Arabidopsis thaliana: one gene and its partner. The protein of the gene in region 1 purifies or fractionates together with the protein of each later gene. This does not show direct contact. Each region holds a gene or a part of one and is shown on either strand. Other genes may lie near its edges.

What was found.
Region 2: the proteins of AT2G32520 (region 1) and AT1G16080 fractionate together in Arabidopsis thaliana (co-fractionation; one large-scale study listed by BioGRID). This does not show direct contact.

What each region holds. Positions count from the first base shown.
Region 1 is NC_003071.7:13,803,564-13,810,534, forward strand, and holds AT2G32520 (alpha/beta-Hydrolases superfamily protein), read right to left. Parts: upstream 4,148-6,971; 5' UTR 4,114-4,147; coding exon 3,832-4,113; intron 3,753-3,831; exon of another isoform or gene 3,543-3,752; coding exon of another isoform or gene 3,537-3,542; intron 3,177-3,536; coding exon 3,034-3,176; intron 2,953-3,033; coding exon 2,823-2,952; intron 2,743-2,822; coding exon 2,551-2,742; intron 2,467-2,550; coding exon 2,260-2,466; 3' UTR 1,726-2,259; downstream 1-1,725. Other genes in the region: CSLB03 (cellulose synthase-like B3), read left to right, coding at 5,720-5,982, 6,210-6,528, 6,910-6,971.
Region 2 is NC_003070.9:5,511,301-5,517,485, reverse strand, and holds AT1G16080 (nuclear protein), read right to left. Parts: upstream 3,225-6,185; 5' UTR 3,093-3,224; coding exon 2,744-3,092; intron 2,578-2,743; coding exon 2,360-2,577; intron 2,271-2,359; coding exon 2,142-2,270; intron 2,068-2,141; coding exon 1,936-2,067; intron 1,839-1,935; coding exon 1,725-1,838; 3' UTR 1,459-1,724; downstream 1-1,458. Other genes in the region: WAKL7 (wall associated kinase-like 7), read right to left, coding at 106-222, 304-375, 418-578, 624-1,227; TLP8 (tubby like protein 8), read left to right, coding at 3,707-4,128, 4,211-4,325, 4,406-4,582, 4,675-4,730, 4,823-4,919, 5,010-5,099, 5,170-5,262, 5,342-5,409 and 1 more; ADAP (ARIA-interacting double AP2 domain protein), read right to left, coding at 5,877-6,185.

The DNA of each region.
Region 1 (6,971 bases):
GATAAATTGATCAGGCCATCATGCATGAAGGAATCAAAGCAATTATGAAAATTGGAAATCATGATATGAATGGTAACAACGAAATGAATAGTTTAAAACAAATAGATCAGACGACAATACAGAACAAATGTGAATAGTACAAGGAAACATAACTCATCGTATAACCACATTTCCATATGAGAGTTTAATGAGGGTAGTTTTATGTGGATATCTACGGTGATCAAAGTTGATCTCCATTTTTGTTCTAGATTTTACTGCTCCAAACGTTGGAGTATCAAAATTTACCTTTTTATGGGTTTAATGTTCTTTATGGTAGATTTTTTTTTGTCTAATCTTTTAAGTGTTCTCTATTTGCAACGGATGTTTAATCAGTGAATAAAATAGTCCAAAATATATCATATCATCAAATTTGTTCTCACTTTTTTTATATTAATTATTTCAACAAATTTGTTTTTGTCTCACTTGCCATTGGCCATGAATCGCGTGGTTCCTTTACCTCATGCACGTTTTATGGGTTACTAATTTAGTAATTATACAGAATCACAATTTGTCGGTTGATTTGATATTAGCTTGGTATCATTTGTCGGCATGTGATATACAAAAGAAAGATATTGGAGCAAAACTGAATGACGTATTTCTTATGTTGGTGAGAAAATGTGAACACAGCTTGGGAAGTGTTTAGCCGCTTCTAGTTGCTAACCGACACTACACTTCTAAACAAGATCAGCACAAGATCTATCTTGTTTTATCAAAGAAAACGTGGTTACTATTTAATTCTGTTTCTCATGTACTTTTGTTTTTGTTTAATATTTAGGTTCCAATTAGTAAAGGAATGAAATATAATTGAAAGCATTTGTGTGATTCGAAAGTAAGAGCTTATTATGTATATGCCCAAATTCAGTAGCTTTTTTGAACATGAATTATGTTAATCATTCAGTATCTAAAATCATAACTAAAATTAGTTAGAAAGGTATGATATATCCATGGCATATACTAATTACATAACATATATACAAATCTAATTTTTTTGGTGAATCCTAACAATACATTTAATCTCATTTCATATAAGTTGGATGTATTAATCCGTATGTCTATCCTCGAGTTATATTCCATATGGTGTCCTTTCCCTGTTTTTTTTTTAGTTTTCTACTTTTAGACATAGTTTTTAATTAGTTTTTTTATTATATTAATGTTGAAATCTATATGTTTATAAAACCTGAATGAATTAAACTATCTATAAAAACTTATGTTGTACAAAAATTTTAGCTGTCAACTGGAAATGTATATTTTTTTTGGAATAATGCAAAAATGTACAAAAAAAACTGTATGAGAAAGTCTTACAAAAAAAAAGAAAAATAAAATGTTTAGTAACGTTTTTTATAAAGTTTTGTGATTAATAACCGTCAAAGCTGTACAACTATAATAATGGTTACCCTTCAAATCCTTTATACTTTATTTAAGACTTTAGAGGAGGCTCTAATACTACGTACATTAATACATACTTTTTACAAATACTTTTTGCCGACAAACAAAACAAAAGTACTGTACGTAGACAATGCTGGAAAACGTGCTATTTTGACAGGAAGACAATCTGTTATCCTATCATTTTCGCATTCTTGTTGATATGATAAGAGGAGCTACCATTGGCTTAAATTGAGTTCACATTGTCCTATAAATTAAATAGATTTCCCCCCTGATTAAGATGTATTCATATTTTTTTTTATTTTTTTTTGATAAAATGTGAATTATATTACCAAAAGGAACATGTTTATTTACAAAAGCTTGGGGCAAGGAGCTTCTAAGACCAAATTTTTTAAAAAAGCCTTAGATAACTATTACAAAGAAACTTGTGATTACATGAGTTTGCTAAGCATGGGAGACCATTGAGAGAGCCGACGTGTGCAGCCTAAGCGGAAACGCCTTGCTAGGAGAATGTCTTTGATGTATTCACAATTGAGTACTTATAAGCTGATATAACAGACTTGGCAGTAATTCAGTTTTACTACATGTACACTATCATTTCCTAGTTTCCGGGATTGAACTCATTACAATTACAAAAAGACGAGACACATCGATATTAGTCCTAATTTACAAAAAAGGCTTCGAACATTTCCACTCAATACTGATTCACAAGTAAACAAACCTCTTTATTTGGTTCAGATTAAAAGTTCTAAGAGCAATGTCCTTATTTAAAGATGATTGGGCATCACACAACGTTTTGGGACTTACATCAACCATTGCTGCCTGATGGAAGAAAGCTTAAGCCAAGTACTGTTTCATCCAGGAGGTGAAGCGAGACCAAGCAAGCTCCACTGCGGCTTCATCTTCATCAGAAAGTCCCATGCTTTTCCTTCTGCTCACTCCTTCTGGACTCCTGTTCAAGAACGCGTGTCCATTACCTGGATAGATGTGAACTTCATGTGCTACTCCAGACGCTTTCAGCTTCTCTTCGAGATTCTTTGCTGCCTGCAAAGGTTTGTAATAATTCATGATGGGATCTCATGTCAATTTCAGAAAAGTTGAGATGTAGTGTAGTGTATATACACATACCGTGACATCAGAAAAACCGACAAAATTGTCGAGCTCTCCAAAATGAGCCTGAATAGGTGCCTTAGCTTGTGCTGGATCTGCGAGCTCTGAGGAAGGGGTTCCATAGAATCCAACAACAGCATCCACCTCAGGAACCAATACAGAGCTAGCTATAGCTAATGCACCTCCCATGCACATTCCAGTGACACCAACCTGTCACAACAATTATAATTCATCTGCATTTTCCTCAAGAATTTTATGCGAACTGAAAGAACTTTGTTTAAGTTTAGCACCTTTTTTGAGCCATTGGATTTTAGCCAATTAACAGAAGCGCGGATATCTTTGATAGCACCTGGCCAATCAAGGCCATCCATTAGATGCTGTGCCTCTGCAGTATCCAAACCAACCTTTCCTCGATACAAGCTACAAAATATAATATTGTGAGACGATACTCAATGAACCATAATTTACAAAACTGAATCTTGCAGTTAAAGAAGCACTCACTCAGGTATAAGGGCTTTGAATCCAGGCTCAAGTTGTGAGATTTTAATAGCATGGTTCTTGATCTCAAAGTCAACACCCCACCATTCTTGAATCACCACAATCCCAGGCGCATCATCTTTACCGACCACATAGGCATCAAATGTCTAACCAACAGACCACAGTGTATAAGTTTTCTTTAGAGTAAAATCAAGATTATAGAAGAATCATACACAAAAAAATAGCTAAATCAAATGCATTTTTCACAATCCTAATAATCAAGAAACTCCAATGTTCAAGAGAAACCAGTCTATCCATGGAGAGAGTTACAAGCAAAGCATAACATCGCCGAAAACTCTGACCAAAACAATACCTAAACTGTTTATCACTATACTGATCATTTGTGAACTGAAACCTAAACTCACAATCTTCCTTCTTAAATCAACCAGTTCTATAACCAAACCTGATAAGGACTATGATTATACGGAGATCTTCAGAAGTAGCTAAGCAATAATAACATCTCTTACTCTCATTCCCAGTTTCTCTACCACAGAACAACACTACACAATCCTGAAGCAGAAACGCCATTGAAATGATAAATCAAATATAATCCATACATCATACACAACAGATTCCGAGATTTGGGGGATATCAAAAGAAATGATGATTTTCATTCAACGGAAAGGATAACCAAAATTTTTTTTTACTTCAAAATCAGGCACTACGGATACAGTCGAAGCTTATGATACACCAAACACAACCATAAAAATGGCACTAAGTAGAAAAAAAACTCAGGGAGAGACAAAAAAGAGAAGCTCTTACAGTGTCATCTCTTTGGATCTGAATTTTCCTGAAAGCTGAATCCGCCATTGATCGCACTGATAAGCGAGAAAACGAAGGAATCGAGGATCTATAGAGCGAAGAAGTTTTTCCGATTGAAGAAGAGAAGAATCTGGATGAGGATGACACTAGTGTACTTAACATTGTTTTTGTGTCTTGTGAGGAAAGAAATTCTTCAGAGTCAACCCCAAACGACACAAAAACGACGACGTATCTGTGAGTGTGAATCTGGGCCCGGTATATTTTTAAAAATATATGGGCCATTAGGCCCAAATAATCAAGTCCTTTTTTGTATTTGTATTTGTATTTGCGACGACGATAATACGTAAATAGTAGTTTGGTAATATCCAAAAAGCCAGCATCGCCTCTGCTACGGCGTTGTCTCTTTTCTCCCAATTATTAGCTTATATCAATATAAGAAATTATTTTTTTTGTGGATTTTGTAACCATGACAGGACCAGCTTGATTTTGTTTTTGTAAGATTCGTGGTTTCTCGATTTCATGAAAATGACTCAATGATTTCGTCCTTTCTATAGTATTTTGGGTTTTAAAGTCAACTAGTTGACTTCAAAACCCAAACTTAACGTCCATATATATACACATACACAGTACTGTATTATGTGTATATATATGGACGTTAAGTTTTTGAAAATAAGAGATATATAGGGCTTACGAAGCCAATATCTAGATAAGTGATATCGGAACAAAAATCAATCACAAAATATCTACCAAGAGATGTCATATGTGATACGTATTAACTTTATATACATATGATTAGTTCCATGAATTTGAATTTAAAAGGTATAGTGCATGTATCAAAGGGCATATATAGCCACATCTCAATTGGGATAAATGAAAGAGTTCATCACGTTTCTTTTCAATTCCCAAAATGGCGATGCGAGGAAATAAAGGCAAGTTATTGATTTCGCTTTCTATAATAATTTTAAATTTTTGTTGTATAACAATGATAAAGAAACGTTCTTCAACAACAACAAAAAAATGTTACGTACGTGACTTTAATTTGCGTGACGACTACTCATCATTCACCACAAGAGCAAACGGAATAAAAAGACAAACTTTATCGTTATCCTAATTTGAACCAAACCACAAAATAGCCACCACAAATAGACAAAGATATACATACAGCGAGACACATCATGCAAAAATGTATATATGTAGCTTAGTGGATCATTAATAATGTTTAGAGAAACGATCGAATTTAATGAGACTTATTTTCGTTGAAAAAGTTTTGATAGGGTGTAACTTAATATATAGTATCAGTCTAGTGCTAAACATCTATAAGTTCAAATTCCAATTTCTGTGTATATTTTGGCCTCCATTCTACAAATCTATATTTATTTACCACAATGTATAATCTAGACATACAATACGTTTTACAAAAAAATAATATGTAGTACATACACCATTTGTGAAGTCATGTATCTATTTGACAAACTAGTCCAATGGAATTTGACTATGACTAATTTATTATTGTCCTTTCTCTTGTGTATCTTTTTTTTTCTTCCTAACTAAACACTACTACACATTATGGGTTGATTGGTATCCAATACCGCTGTAGTATGGAGTATATTGCTTTGATAATAATCAATCAAAGGATGCTACTAAAAACGATATTTTAAGTTTTATGATTTTTTTTTCTTTCGTACCGCTACTTTATATCGTTTTTAAACTATTTTTGTATCTCTTACCGTTTTTTCTACTTGCTAAAAAACTTATACGATTTTGTGTGGCCAATCGGTCCTATATTTTATATATACAAGCATTCATAGACGTGACGACGCATTATTTTACTTAACCCTATATAAACATATCCAAAAACCGCAAGAAAGCTCACAAGAAATCTCCTCCCATGGCAGATTCAAGTTCTTCTCTCCCTCCTCTTTGCGAGAAGATCTCATACAAAAACTATTTTCTAAGAGTTGTGGATCTCACGATTCTAGGCTTTCTCTTTTCTCTTCTCTTGTACCGAATTCTACTTATGAACCAAAACAACTCCGTTTGGGTTGTGGCTTTCCTCTGTGAATCCTTTTTCTCTTTCATATGGCTTCTTATTACCAGCATAAAATGGAGTCCTGCTTCATATAAATCATATCCTGAAAGACTTGATGAAAGGTATCAATTTATATTACACTTACAATTATATATACAATCATGCATATTAAAAGCATATGTTCTTTTAATTTTGTATAAAACCTAAGTCCTAGCTAGCTGAAACCTAACTCTTAAGTTTTTTTTTCCTCACGAAATATCATTCATTTTTTTCTGTTATCTTTCTATTTTAGTGGACTAGCTAGTAAAAATTTGAAAATATAAGACTCTTAGTAATTAAATAATTTCAGGGTTCATGACCTTCCATCGGTAGATATGTTTGTGACTACTGCGGATCCTGTTCGGGAGCCGCCGATTCTTGTAGCAAACACGTTGCTTTCGCTGTTAGCAGTGAATTATCCAGCGAATAAACTTGCTTGTTATGTATCGGATGATGGATGCTCACCTCTCACTTACTTCTCTCTCAAGGAAGCTTCTAAGTTCGCCAAGATTTGGGTTCCCTTCTGCAAAAAATATAACATTAAAGTTAGAGCTCCTTTTAGATATTTTTTGAACCCTCCAGCCGCAACAGAAAGTTCTGAATTCAGTAAAGACTGGGAAATAACCAAGGTAAATTAAAGGGTTTAATTGTTTTTTCGGCGTATGAGTTTAATTTTGCAATTGTGTTTACAAATTAAATGATTTCGTTTACTTTCAAGAAGAACACATAATTTATTTTCAATCAAACATTATTTGTAAATTGTAGAAGGTAAAGTAGAAGAAATCGTTGATGTTTCGAATTTGTGTTCTTTAAAACATTATGACAATGCTGTGATTTATAGAAAGATAAAGAAAAACAAAATCAATTAATTAGCACAATCAGATTTTTGCGTTTAAAACAATTGGGACGAAGATCAAAATTTGTTCTTAGCTTTTGATATTAATTGTTCCAAATTTTCGTATTAATTATTAGGAATTTTCTTGAAATTATGTTTTTGTATCAACATTAAGAGGGAGTACGAGAAATTAAGCAGGAGGGTGGAAGATGCCACTGGAGATTCCCATTGGTTGGA
Region 2 (6,185 bases), on another chromosome or scaffold:
CTAATACCTACCCAACACAAAAGAAACACATTTAAAGCCAAATCCGTTTTATTGCTATCCATGATGACATATCGCAGATGATCGGTAGCTTACCAAGAATGATGGCTAGTCTTTTGTTTTTGTTGGATTTACACCTAAAGTTTCCTGGGATATTCTCACAATCATACCCTTTCCCACAATGGTTGCTTCCTTCAGCTTTGGCTTCTTCACACTCATCAATATCTACTTAGGCGAAGAATGCATCAATGATTCATGGAGCTTACAGAAACTAACGCAAAGTTATACCAGAAAATGTTAGTTTACCTGTACATCCACTCGAGAGATATGGATTGCCTCTGTAGCCACTGTTACACCTGCAGCTTCTATAGCTTCGCTCTAAATACTTACCATATCTACATATGCAAGCTTCATAGTTACTGTAACTCCAACCGCTTGTACCCTCGGTAATTGAATAGCAAACCCCAGTACAACGGACATATTGTGTAACCTATCTATGAACCAACCTAACTCCACCGTTCCATATCCCTTATCGTAAAACAAAGCTGGTTCGGTTATATTTAAAGGAGAATATGCCTCGTCTGTCAAGAAAGCAACTCTGCACCCAGCTTATTTCGTTGTGTTACCATCAAGACTCTCTATCTTGATGCCAATCTGTTGCAGACGGTCAGAGAGTATCTTCGCTTGGCAACATCTATAGCCGTTGCAGCTTCTGTTCCGTCCTCTCTGACCAAACCCCACGTCGCAGGTAGACTCGCATCCTCCAATCTGCAGCTTATCATCAGTCATCGAGGCATTGTTGTTACAGCCAACTGCTACTAAAGTATTACGGCCGGTGAGGAAGAATGGGCTCCCGGTCACATTCAAAGCCAAGCTGATTTCTTCCATATTGGAACAGCCTAAAGAAGTTACCGGATTCTTGATTCGGGTTAGCCCAAAGACATCGCTTGAGTCGTCCGGGAGAGAGATATTCACCAGTTCTCTGTTGATACTCTTAAGAACTGGCAGAGGGTTTCCTGAGGTTCGGTTACAGATAACTTCATACCACTCATTGTTGTTGAGATAGCAATCTTTACCAATTCCAAAGGGATAAGGAATCGCTATTCCCCCGCAATGGCTTTGACAAGAACTGAAGACAGTGAGATCTTGAGCAGATGCTGCAATCAAACCATGGATCAGCAGAACCAGAAGAGAGAGCAAGTTATATATGGAAAACTTCTCTCTGCTCATTATGCTCTGTTTTTTTTTCTTTGTAGAAAACTGAGTTATGTTATGTGAAGCTAAAGCTAAAGCTAATATAGAATTATGTGTTATATAGTAACTAACCGAAGAAACCACAGTTGCCTACTTGGACCACCTTGCCTGCAAAGGCTGAAAATTCAAACAAGCGTGGACGATCCTGCCTCTTACTTTGTCAACTATTGATGATTCCAAAGAGTCTACATAGGTATCTGTCATAATTTGTTTATTATTGAAGATTCTAGTCTTCCCTAATTGATGGGAGTCTAGAAGCAGAAAAGTTTTGATTCTTGAAAATGCACAAGTTTACACATATAAAAGTCTGGACATTTTACAAAGCGTGAACTGATTCTCTTTCTTTATTAAAAAATTACATCTTTTTTTCACTTCTCAGGCGTGTACACAGTTGACACTAGTTTCAGATCATCTACTTAAAATATGTAAGAATGATACTTAATCCAGATACTCACAATTTAGAAAGACTGGCTCTATATCACTTTAAGCTCTTTCAGCCATTCGGTATGGAGGGGACACGGATCCGGTTGCCCTTCCGCAATCGCCTTCTCTGAGAGTGAATAAAACCAACCATTCCTCCATTTAAACTGCAATAATCAGAAAACTAGTTGTGAAACAGATACTGATGCACATGCACATGCATTGAAAGAGAGAGATCAAGGATGATAAAAGTGATATATGTACTTCTTTAACAGCAGTTGGGAAATGAGAAACAGCTCGTGAATAAGCACATAGTCTTTCCACCATGTTCTCTTCAAAGGTTAGTCCTTTTTCCGCGGCAGCAGCTGCTGCAAGTTCTTGGATGAGTCTCGACACCTGAATGTATAAGTAATTAGCACTAAACAACGATTTTGAATGCTAAAACGAAACGAGGAATGGAATTTCGGTACTTCATCTCTGTATTCTTTCTCCACCGTGCCAACACTTGCACCTGGATGACGAGCTCCAACAAGCATAAATGCACAAATCCAAATGAGTTTCTCCAACATTTGCTTCTGAAAAGCTTCTTTGTCAAGTACCTAACCACAGAAACACCGACAAAAGAACACATTTAGTATATCCATGCAGCTTCTGCGTTATCATAAAACAAAGATTTGCTTCTTGTAACCTTGCAAGAGAGGCCACCAGATTGCAATCTTGCAGCTATCTCTGAAGCCCATTTTCCATAAGCAGCAGTAAGACCTTCTGGGTTAGTGTCAGTCTTTCCATCCACGGGAGGCTCGCCGAGCTTTGACACAGCAAAATAGGCCAACACTTGGTCTGTATCACCCAAACCTTTGCTCTCAAACCACGGCTCCATCATTCCATTTTGGAAGAAGACCAAATCTGATTAATTACACACAACGTTTTTACTATACCAAGTCATAAACTGAAGAAACAATCAAAATTTGATAATCTGATCATTTGAATTGTGCTCTGCGATGATCAAACGCCCTAAAACATCTAACAATTTGGCTCACTAATGATTCTTAGGGCCTATGAAAGTTTCTACCTTTCCATCTAGACTGAGGAGTAGCTTCAAGAACAGCATCGAGATCATCATTTCTTGTACAAACCAAAATGGGTCCTTCAAAATCAACCGGAACTGCTTCTCCTCTCTTCACCAACAAATCCTCGCCATTACCCATTTCCTGTAACGCCCTTCCGACTCTTCCGCCACCCACAATCACAGCAGGCGCTAGTTTTTTAGCGGTGGCAGCTGACGCGGCGGCCATAGCCATTGGAACGGCGAATCTCGCTCTTGAAACTGAGGGTTTAAGAGATTCAGAGCGTCGGAGGAAAGAGAAACGAGCTGAAGCGGAGCAGGAAACAGCAAACAGAGTACTACTGGCTTTAGCCATGGTGATAATAATGGGCTTCGACGATGTTGTGGCCTCTCATGGTTTTGGTTGGACTAATTTGAACAGTATGGTTTAACAGCCACTCGATGGTTTGAGGCTCTGGCTTATCGGTTTTGGATGACTCACGAAGATAAAACGGCATGACGTTGATAAATATAAAAAACGGCAGGTTGTTGATACTTTAAGTGTTTGAGTGTTTGAAACACAGTTCCCGCTAAACCTCAATCCAATCATCAACCTTTCAGTTTCCCGACAAAGGAAAACGACAAAATATTAATCAAAATCCCACTATCGTGTATTGACCGTTGGGTCCGTAGAAAGTAGAAAAAGGGCAAAAACCAAACGCAGACATCTAAAAAACCTTTGTGTTTAAGACAAGAAAAGAAAAGTCCATCTGTGTCTTTGGTTCTGTGCTCGCACAATCCCCAATGGCTATTCAAATTCAAATGGAAACACTGTGGGACTTTATAAAAACGTTACTTTCAACTCAGTACCATTGTCAAACACCTGTTTCTAGATTCATGTCTTCAAAATCTATAAAGATATAAACTTAGCTCCCAGAAAGTTCTAAACTTGATACTTGAAAGCAATCCATCCAGAAAGGGAAAAAAAACATGGCTGGTTCGAGAAAAGTGAATGATTTGTTGGAGGAAAATAAGGGAAATGTGGACACAATTACAGGGTCTTTATCCACTCAAAAGGGAGAGGATAAGGAGAATGTGTCGCCGGAGAAAGTCTCTACCTCTGTGGAAACTCGGAAACTAGATCGAGCTTTGAAGTCTCAATCGATGAAGGGTAACTCTGGGTTTCCAACGGAAGTTACAAATTTCAAATCTTTCTCAACTGGTGGTCGAACAGCTCTGAAGCAGTCATCACTGCAAGCGTGTATGCAGAAGAACAGTGAGGTTGATAAGAGTAGTTTCGGAATGAAAACTTGGACTAGTGTTGATTCAGAGCATTCAAGTTCGTTGAAAGTGTGGGAGTTTTCGGATTCTGAAGCTGCCCCTGCTTCCTCTTGGTCTACTTTGCCCAACAGGTAAAAACACGGCTATTACCAAGATTCTTGTGCTTTCATTGTTCTAAACATGTCTGAAACTATGTATATACTTGTTAAACAGGGCTTTGTTGTGCAAGACACTACCTTTGGATGTGGGAAGATGCACTTGTCTGATTGTGAAAGAACAATCACCTGAAGGCTTGAGCCACGGATCTGTATATTCACTTTATACACATGTAAGTATATAGATATTCGATTTACCATGATGCTGAGTGAGAATTGAGATGTAGTGATATCAATGTTTCTGATATCTCAGGAAGGTCGGGGGCGTAAAGACCGGAAGTTAGCAGTTGCTTACCATAGCCGACGTAATGGGAAATCTATATTTAGGGTGGCACAGAATGTTAAGGGATTGCTGTGCAGTTCGGATGAAAGTTATGTCGGTTCCATGACGGCTAATCTCTTGGGTTCCAAGTACTACATATGGGACAAGGTCAGAAATTCAAGCTCAATGTAACGGTGTTGGTTCTGCTTATAGGTTGGAAATCGAGTATGAATGTTTCTGGTCTTTTGATTCCATTGCAGGGAGTTCGAGTTGGTTCTGTAGGTAAAATGGTGAAGCCGCTTCTTTCGGTTGTAATGTAAGCGTTGAGGATTTTGAATGCCGTGTTTTTTGATGAATTTGCCTCTGCCTTAGTTTTGGGTTTGCTTATGCATCTGTTGGCTTCTGCAGATTCACACCCACCATAACAACTTGGACAGGGAGCTACAGAAGAATGAGAACTTTGCTACCAAAGCAGCAGCCAATGCAGAAAAACAACAATAAGCAGGTAAATGCCTAATCTTAAACTTCTCTCCATCAATCTTGCATTCCGAAAACATAAAACTGTTAATACACGTATGTATGTATCTCCTTATAGGTTCAACAAGCTAGTAAACTACCGCTTGATTGGCTTGAGAATAAGGAAAAAATTCAGAAGCTATGCTCAAGGATACCACATTACAACAAAGTAAGTCTCACCGGGCATCATTGTTGATTTTGTAAAGCATGAAATTCATTGTGTCTTCCCCTTTCTTTAGATCTCCAAGCAGCATGAGTTAGACTTCAGAGACAGAGGAAGAACAGGACTGAGAATACAGAGCTCGGTGAAGAACTTTCAGCTAACACTCACGGTGCATTTCCACAACTTTAAAGCTTTGATCAAAAACCAATCTCAAGAATCCTAAACATTGTGTAATTTGGTATAAGCAGGAGACTCCAAGGCAGACAATTCTTCAAATGGGGAGAGTTGACAAAGCAAGATATGTAATCGACTTCAGGTACTACTTGCTCAAACCAGAATGAGCCAAACATAAACATACTTATAAGCTTAGGATTAAAGGCTTTATCATCTAAAAGTCTTTTGCTTTATCTGTTTGCAGGTATCCATTCTCAGGCTACCAAGCATTCTGCATTTGCTTGGCTTCTATTGATTCCAAGCTTTGTTGTACTGTTTGATCATTAATAAACGGACGAGTTCAATCTCTGAACATCCCTCCAATGATCATCATCTGTATACCTTACTTTTCTACATAAACAATTCCTCTATCTGAGTTTCACAAACTACCTCAGTACCTCTCAAATCAAATTCACCATCAGAGGAAACTGAAAGTGGACAACTGTTAAAAAGATTCAAACTTTATTATATAAGATTGTCACAAGAAAGAATAATCGATGTGTCAATGTTGATTTTCACAACCGAGATTCTGAACAACTAAAAAACAAAACTTATCAGAAGAACAACACTTTAGCAATCATTTAACTCGCTGTAGAAATCAGGCGTAAGGAAAGAATCTAAATCACCGAAGATAACATCATCTTCCTCCGCCGTTAACTTGCCGGAGTTTTGACACCCGAAATACGTCTGGATATCTTCCGGGAAGCTCCGACGAGGCGGAGCAATCTCAGGTGGCGTCGATGGTCCGATTACCTCCTCTGCCACTAAAGGTGACGACTTCAAGAGCTTTGTTTTCCGATCATCGTTGTCCTCTGACGAAGATTGACTCTGTGATAAGTCAGACTCGTGGTTAGGTTTTATAAATGGGCTAAGATCAGA